Schizosaccharomyces pombe: one gene and its partner. The protein of the gene in region 2 binds, or shares a complex with, the protein of the main gene of each other region. Each region holds a gene or a part of one and is shown on either strand. Other genes may lie near its edges. A codon is read from its position in the direction of its gene.

Evidence for each region. The genes of interacting proteins can lie anywhere in the genome.
Region 1: the proteins of med7 (region 2) and med31 are in contact, whole or in part, in a crystal structure (PDB 5N9J), measured with the Schizosaccharomyces pombe proteins. Residues at the interface, in NP_596734.1 of Schizosaccharomyces pombe: Phe13 (codon at 2,474), Pro14 (codon at 2,477), Pro15 (codon at 2,480), Pro16 (codon at 2,483), Pro17 (codon at 2,486), Tyr19 (codon at 2,492), Tyr20 (codon at 2,495), Leu22 (codon at 2,501), Phe23 (codon at 2,504), Thr24 (codon at 2,507), Arg25 (codon at 2,510), Ile28 (codon at 2,519), Ile56 (codon at 2,603), Leu59 (codon at 2,612), Ala60 (codon at 2,615), Leu62 (codon at 2,621), Phe63 (codon at 2,624), Lys64 (codon at 2,627), Lys65 (codon at 2,630), Pro66 (codon at 2,633), Ser67 (codon at 2,636), Cys68 (codon at 2,639), Leu69 (codon at 2,642), Thr73 (codon at 2,654), Tyr74 (codon at 2,657), Met76 (codon at 2,663); in NP_587859.1 of Schizosaccharomyces pombe: Lys9 (codon at 1,308), Asp13 (codon at 1,296), Lys14 (codon at 1,293), Arg16 (codon at 1,287), Phe17 (codon at 1,284), Glu18 (codon at 1,281), Ile19 (codon at 1,278), Glu20 (codon at 1,275), Glu22 (codon at 1,269), Phe23 (codon at 1,266), Met26 (codon at 1,257), Trp31 (codon at 1,242), Tyr32 (codon at 1,239), Phe35 (codon at 1,230), Tyr41 (codon at 1,212), Asp44 (codon at 1,203), Glu45 (codon at 1,200), Ala46 (codon at 1,197), Phe47 (codon at 1,194), Gln49 (codon at 1,188), Tyr50 (codon at 1,185), Tyr53 (codon at 1,176), Tyr56 (codon at 1,167), Trp57 (codon at 1,164), Tyr62 (codon at 1,149), Phe65 (codon at 1,140), Ile67 (codon at 1,134).

What each region holds. Positions count from the first base shown.
Region 1 is NC_003421.2:525,359-528,750, forward strand, and holds med31 (mediator complex subunit Med31), read right to left. Parts: upstream 1,391-3,392; 5' UTR 1,333-1,390; coding exon 913-1,332; 3' UTR 501-912; downstream 1-500. Other genes in the region: SPOM_SPCP31B10.02 (uncharacterized protein), read left to right, coding at 3-434; protein psg2, read left to right, coding at 2,244-2,307, 2,393-2,734, 2,832-3,289. UniProt on the Schizosaccharomyces pombe protein: Component of the Mediator complex, a coactivator involved in the regulated transcription of nearly all RNA polymerase II-dependent genes.
Region 2 is NC_003423.3:4,170,205-4,173,959, forward strand, and holds the start of med7 (mediator complex subunit Med7), read left to right. Parts: upstream 1-2,155; 5' UTR 2,156-2,437; coding exon 2,438-2,683; exon of another isoform or gene 2,684-2,749; coding exon 2,750-3,634; 3' UTR 3,635-3,755. Other genes in the region: ubiquitin ligase Doa10, read left to right, coding at 1-1,281.

The DNA of each region.
Region 1 (3,392 bases), on a different chromosome or scaffold from region 2:
TTATGCATCTAACGTTGTTTAAAGAATTATTGAAACAACCAAAACCAAAATTTCATTTTGAAATAGAGCCCAATGTATCTTTTCTAGCAGTGGAGGAGGGACCAGCGTCGTTGCGTTCTTATTCTATAGGGAATGTGAGTCGTATTTACGATGGCATAAGAGTACCTCCAAAACCCGAGGAGCCTTTGAATTGTTGCCAAAGTGGTTGCGCTATATGTGTTTGGGATGTGTATGCTGATGACCTTGAGGAATACAATCGTGCACGAAGAAAAGCAAAAAGGCATTATTTAGATAAACATTTACCCGTGCCTCCTGATTTAGCAAAGGTTTCATTAAAGGAAACTAGCTCATTGGAAGAGCTACCTCCTCAGTTGAAAGCCTTTGTTTTACTGGAAAAACGATTAATGAAGGATAAGCAATCTAAAAACAACTAATTAATGCAAAAACAAAAATATATAACTCTCATGATAAGGATATGATAGGTATGAATAACATGATTTTCTTGGATATATTATCAAAAAAATTAGACTTAATGCTTCTTTATTTATTAGTCTAAATGCTTACAGAACACTTCTGAAACTGCATAAAATGGCATTAAATATGATTTACAAAAATAAAAGTCTAAAAAACTCTGTATTGTGTAAATGTGTTTTAATTTGCAGTCAAACTTTTCAACAGAATTTATCTCATACCGATTCAATCCATTTTGGCAAACTGAAAAGCACAGGAAACACAATCAGAAGTGATCCGTAAAGATTTTGTACTTATTGAAGTTTCATAGGTCCAGGAGTTTCTCAAGTACATGCTTGTATAAGAGATCTTGCTTGATTTTGGATATTGAAATTTAAAAATGTGAGAAAAAAGTAAGTGGATATTACCATAACTATCTCAATATCTACATACATCCTCTTTTCATTCATTTTCCTTTTTCACGTCAACTTTCTTTTCATCTTCCTCTTGCTGCGGCTGAGACAAAGTAGCATCGTCGGCACTACCATATTGCTGCAAACCTTTTCCTAACCATTCATAATAAATTTCATCATTAACCTGCTTTGACAAATCCGCTCTAGAAATGTCGTTGCGAAATTGCGGATTTTTTAATAAAGTCAACATGTGCAGGCAAGTTGGATAAATTATGAATTTCACATATTCTGGTTCCCTCCAATATTCCATATATTCAAGGTACTGTAAAAATGCCTCATCTTCAAAGTATTTGTGCTGGGCAAGGAAGTTTAGGTACCATGGATTTGAAAGCATTTGTACAAATTCTAACTCAATTTCAAACCGACTCTTATCATCGGGAACCTTTGAAAGTAACCATTTTGTTTCCATTGAATCGAAACAATTACTTGACCATATATCTGTATATTTGGTAAAATTTGGTTTTGGTGCTACCACTAGTAACGCTACGGGATATGTAAAGAATAGTGGGCTCCCTAAATGGTGAGTAGAAAATTGAAAGAGTAAACAAATTCAATTCTAACGGGCAATTTATTTCTTAATTAAATTAAAATTCTCTAGTTGAAAAATTGGTTCTAAATGGTTTCTCCCATTTAAGCTGTTTAATTTTACAAGTGTTAATAATCAATCTGGAACAATGTCAAAACAACTTAGTTGAAATCTTAAAGTCAACTTCAAATTTCTAATTGCTCATTAAAGCTGTCTAACTCAATTTTTTGTGGATACCATTTTTATCCACAATAAGTATTGCTTTCTTCGTATTGATGATGAGCGTAGAACTTTCAATTTTAATAAGACTTGTTGACAAAAGGAAAGCTATAATTAAATACACTGAAACCTTTTTTTCAACAGTAAACTGACCCTCTAGATCTGTAGTTTCAATCAAATTGACAAAAAACGGATAAGATTAAGAATATATTTTTATGGCATAGTAGAGATGCATTGGTTATTTAAAATGTTATTAAGTTAATATTAATTTTCAATATATAGGCCTTAATAAACTGTTATTCATATTCGGCTCTTGAGGTATAAAGTCGTTCAATTTTCAAACCTTTCCGCTGCCAATACACAGCGGAATTTATGAGTATCTCGTGAAATCAGCAATTCCGGTTGGTATTAATGTTATATAAGCTTAAACAATAATTTTTCAAGAAAGGAATACTGTTTGGCTGCATAATTGGTCTTTATCCTCGTATATTACCGCTTTTGTCATTTTTCTATATTCGGGTTGTTATCACTGTCTGAACCCTACTAAAGTTTTTCATTCATACATTTAAATTACAATGAAAGTTATTTGTGGATCAGTGTTTCTGTTTTCACTTTTCTTTCAAGTAGTTTTAGGAGATTGTATGTTCTAATGAGTTTTTTGCTTTGTTTGCTAACCAGATTTTCTTTTTTTTTTTCATTCACTAAGCATAACACTAACCTATAGATTTTTCCTCGTCTTCCGGTAATCCTAACTTGAGGACTACGAAAGTGTATACTGTAGTCAGTGGAACTCACCTGGCTACGGCTGAAAGCACTGTTAGTAAAACAATCACCACGACAAAAGGTTTACCGACTAATGCTTATTACAACTGTGTTCCTTCTAAATATATCCAGTCGGATATACCCATGTGTGCACCTAACCAAGGGGATCGTTGGGTAAAAGGTCGCAAGTATAAAGTGTCATGGGATCCTCTGTACTTTGGAGTTGATAATCTTCTTATGGTAGTTTCCTATTTAAACGATAGCGGGTTGATTGCCGCTACCAAGAAGGTTCAAAATTCAAAAGGTTCGTTTGTAGAGGAGCGGGAATTCAGCATTACTTCTTGCGGATAGATTTTCTGCTTCTAAAAGCGTTCACTTAATTGTTGCTAACTATTTTTCAGGAGAAATAATGTTAAAGGCTAACAAAGGTTGGCTTCATGATGATAGTTTCCAGAATGTCACCATCGATTTGGTTACTATTAGTGAAAACAATATGACGCTGCTTACCGGACCAAGAATCTTACTTGCCAAGGATTTAGATAGTGCCACCGCTGCCGCTGAGAATGCAGCTTTCTATGGTCCAAGGAGAAATATCAAGGCAGCCATCGCCGTCCCGTCTGTAATTTTGGGGCTTATTCTCGTTGCTCTCGTATACTACGCTTATAGGAAGGACACTTGGAAAATTTATATGGCAAAGATCAGAATCCGTAGATCCGCTCCTGGATATGGTGTGCGACGCAGCAGGCGCCAACGTATGCAAAGCCGTCCTGTTGCCTATACTAGTCTTCCAGCCGATGCACACTTTGAGGACTCGGATGATGAGGATTATTACCAATCACAAGTAAAAAAATTCCATTAAATCTGTGCATAGAGAAGTTCTTCATTGTTAGTAGCAAGAAGTTTTTGTTTTTCGTGAAGAAAGCTAGATTAATCGTCATTTAATTTCACTCTGTTTTTAATCA
Region 2 (3,755 bases):
TTAGCGTTAGAAATTCTCATATTTTTAAGTATTAAATTATTTAAACCTCTCGAACTCACTAGAAGTTTTTGGCGAACTTTGGTGTCAACATTCTGCAGATGTTTACGTCTATCATCATATGTTATGGGTCAAAGGTATAGTGATGAAGAGGGTTATTATCCCAAGCAATATTTTTCTTTTCTTAGAAGGATTATAAGCAAACCTTCGGATACCGAAAACCAAGATGATGGTGATAAGCAGAAAGCAAAGAAAGACTTTGTCCAAGACGGTTTCTTTTTGTGGTGTCCTTCTAAGGATGTTGTGCCAGTTCGCCAAGGAGCCATGCTTATACCTGTGACAGAAAATGGTTATGAAATTTTTGGTGAAAAAAAGAAGGTCGAAGAAAATGCGGACTATACCATTACTTATGCACCTTCTAATTTTTATAAGCGTTTGATCGCTTTGTTGTTATTTTGTTGGATATGCTCAACACTTGTGACAGTATTGTTAGTGTTTGTTCCACTTTCATTAGGAAGAGCTATTTATGCTTGGTGCTTTCCTAATGTGGTAAAGCACGATTTTTATGCTTACGCCATTGGATTTTACTCTATTTCTTTTCCAATGTATGCAATTCACGCGTCTGTTAAGTTTCTGAAACTTGACTATTTACGAAGCCTTATGAATAAACTAAATTTAAAAATTGTTATGAGGAGCTTAGTAATGGCGTTAAAATATCTTTTATTAGCATTCCTTGGAATATTTATCTTACCACTCTTACTTGGAGCTATATGGGAATTATACGTCGCTATACCTTTCCGAACGATATTTAACAGAGGGACTCTTGCTCTCGATGCATTCCAAAACTGGGTGATTGGTCTTTTTATGCTTCGTATGATATATTTTACTGTGACTTCTAATGAAGAGCGTTTCGTTTCAAGGTTGTTTCAAGATGCTTTTCGTGATAGATGGACGAATCCTCAAATTCTTCCATTATTAAAAAATGTTCTCATCCCTTTTACATCAGCCTTAATAGCCGCCGTTGTGTTGCCAAGTGTTTTTACTTACGTAACCTATCCTTTTCTTTCATCCATTTTCCCTTCTGCATCTAAAACCCTTATGTATCGGTTGATGCATCCTATATTTTTAGCATTACTTGGGCTAGCACTCTTGGGGCGCCGTTTTGTAGAAACTAGTAGTAAATGGTCGCAAGGAATACGTGATGATTTATACTTAGTTGGTACGAGACTGCACAACTTTGGCGAATCTGCTCCTCCAGCCATTTCTGAGTCTGCCGAAAAATAAAAGTCTAGTCATCTACTATTTTTCAGATTATCCTTCTCTTTGGAAAACTGGAGCGAGGACATCTGAAGTAATATAGAGCATTGTGAATGTATATTATTTGAATGATGTTTTTGTTTTAATTGCTACGAAACTGTTAGTTTAGTTGCAGGAAATTACAAAAAGTCATCGTTTGAACAATTGGTTTGTTATTGTTATATTGCCAGGCATCTTATCCAATTTATCGTAACTGGTATTATCATGATATGGTGCTATTTATTTAATTTTCTTTACAAAATTGAACAAATATCAATTATCGTTGAATTTCTTTGATGTATCTGATGACTGTATCAAACCGTAGCAGCGAAAATTTGCAGACAATCACTAGCAATGGATAAATTAGTTAATTACTAAAAAGAAACAGTTATAACAAATATGTTTACTACGGTTATGTGACAAATTTATGAAAATGTAAAAGTTCGTAGTATTGCATGTGTTGATTTTGTAATCCATTCAATACTAACTAATCCTTCGTATAGAGGAATATCAAAATACTTTATCACTTAATCAATTTAAATTTTACGATTATGTTGGCCTAGTAAAATATTCATGTTAAGGATTTTATGGCATTCAACAATAGCGATAAGCTGTAATATTACAAGTAATAAACTCCTACTTAATTCGTTTCCAAGCCCATTTATTAAAAAGAATAATTCAGTGTTGTTAAAAGAAACACTGCAATTCTCTAAAAATTAAAAAAGCCAAGAAGTGTATAATTTTAAGCTACTTTAATCAGTGAAACTAATTTAAAACCAAGAATGATTAAAGATATCGAAATAAACAATTTATAGCAAAATTTATTGGTGATAGAAGCTTTCACTTCGTATTCCATATGCCAGATAAAACTACCCACTTTTACTGACTATTCCAAAATCCATTTTGAGCAAAAGATCGGTTATTTTCAAGTGTTTTTATATTCAGGATTTTCATGTCAATCAGTTATTGAGCGTCATATCGTTGTTCAATTACGGTTTTCTTAACATTATAGAAACTGCTTTTCTAAAAAAAAAAAGAAAAAAAAAGAGCAGGCATTTTTATACTAAGAATCAGCGATAAAAGGGAAGACAGTTACATCAATCTAAAATCTAGTTTACGATAAATACTATTTAACTAAAAGAGAATGGAACCAAACGAAGGAGTACAACTGTTTTCGGCTTTTCCGCCTCCACCTCCATATTATAAGTTATTTACAAGAGAAAACATAGAAAAAGTAATTTCAAATATGGAGAAAGAAGCAAAACATGAGGATGACGCGAATACTTTACAACCTAAGACTGAAGAAGAAATAGAGTCGCTGGCCAAGCTGTTTAAGAAGCCGTCATGTCTCACATCTGGGACTTATCAAATGTTTGGTGACACATGGAGGGTAAGTTTATTTTTATTGTTTTACATTAGCTGCTTTTCATCTCTCACTAACTTATATCGCTTATAGCTAGACGAAGCTATACCTTCACTCAAAGAATTTGGAATCCCTGAATTATATAAAGATATAAAAGATGGAGAAGATGAAATTGAAGTGGTAGAATATGATCCTAAATCCAATGCGATAGTTGGTACTAGTTTTACTCGTGTACACGATTATGATAAAAATTCACCAATTGAAAATGAAAAAATTCTGGAGGATGATCAACATACGGCCATGAAAGAAAAAGATAATGAATCTGATAAGACAATGAAAGATGTCGAGGAAAAGACTGAGCCCTCTCTTAAAAAGGAAGAGGAGGATATACAAATGAAGGAACCTTTAGATTCTCAAGATACTGGAGCTGTTTCAGCTTCTTCGGTAAACGAAGGTTTCCGGGCAGATCAAAAATCAAAGGATGGAGAAACGAGTGATTTGATAAAAATTCCCCGGCGAGCTTATGAACTACGATTTTTATCCCGCTCACTTATGCTTAACTTTCTTGAACTCCTAGGGATTATGGCGAAGGCACCCGAACAGTTTCCTTCTAAGGTTGAAAACATTAGGGTGTTGCTGCTCAATCTCCATCATTTAATTAATGACTATCGTCCACACCAATCTCGTGAATCTTTAATTATGCTTTTAGAAAAACAATTAAAACATGAAGAGTCGCAGGTTGAGCTATTACGTACTCATAACCGGCAAATGACCGAAACTTTGGAAAAGTACAAATCATTAGATTTTAATATGGAGAAGGAAGGAGATGTGATTCAACAATTAAAGTCGTCAATAAAAAAGCCATTGTCAGGCGCTGAAGATGAGCAAAAGTCTAGGTCTATGTTCTCAAAAAATGACGAGAAATTAAAAAAATCGCTTGAATTAATGGAAGACGTGATAAAACGAGATCTTAGCTAATAAACCGGTTTATCTAGTAGAGTTATTTTGCTATTTCCTCTGCTTTTAATATTTGTTTTACAAACAAAAATTCATACTAACGATGAAAAAAATGTATTCTTTCTATTTTAAACAAATCAAA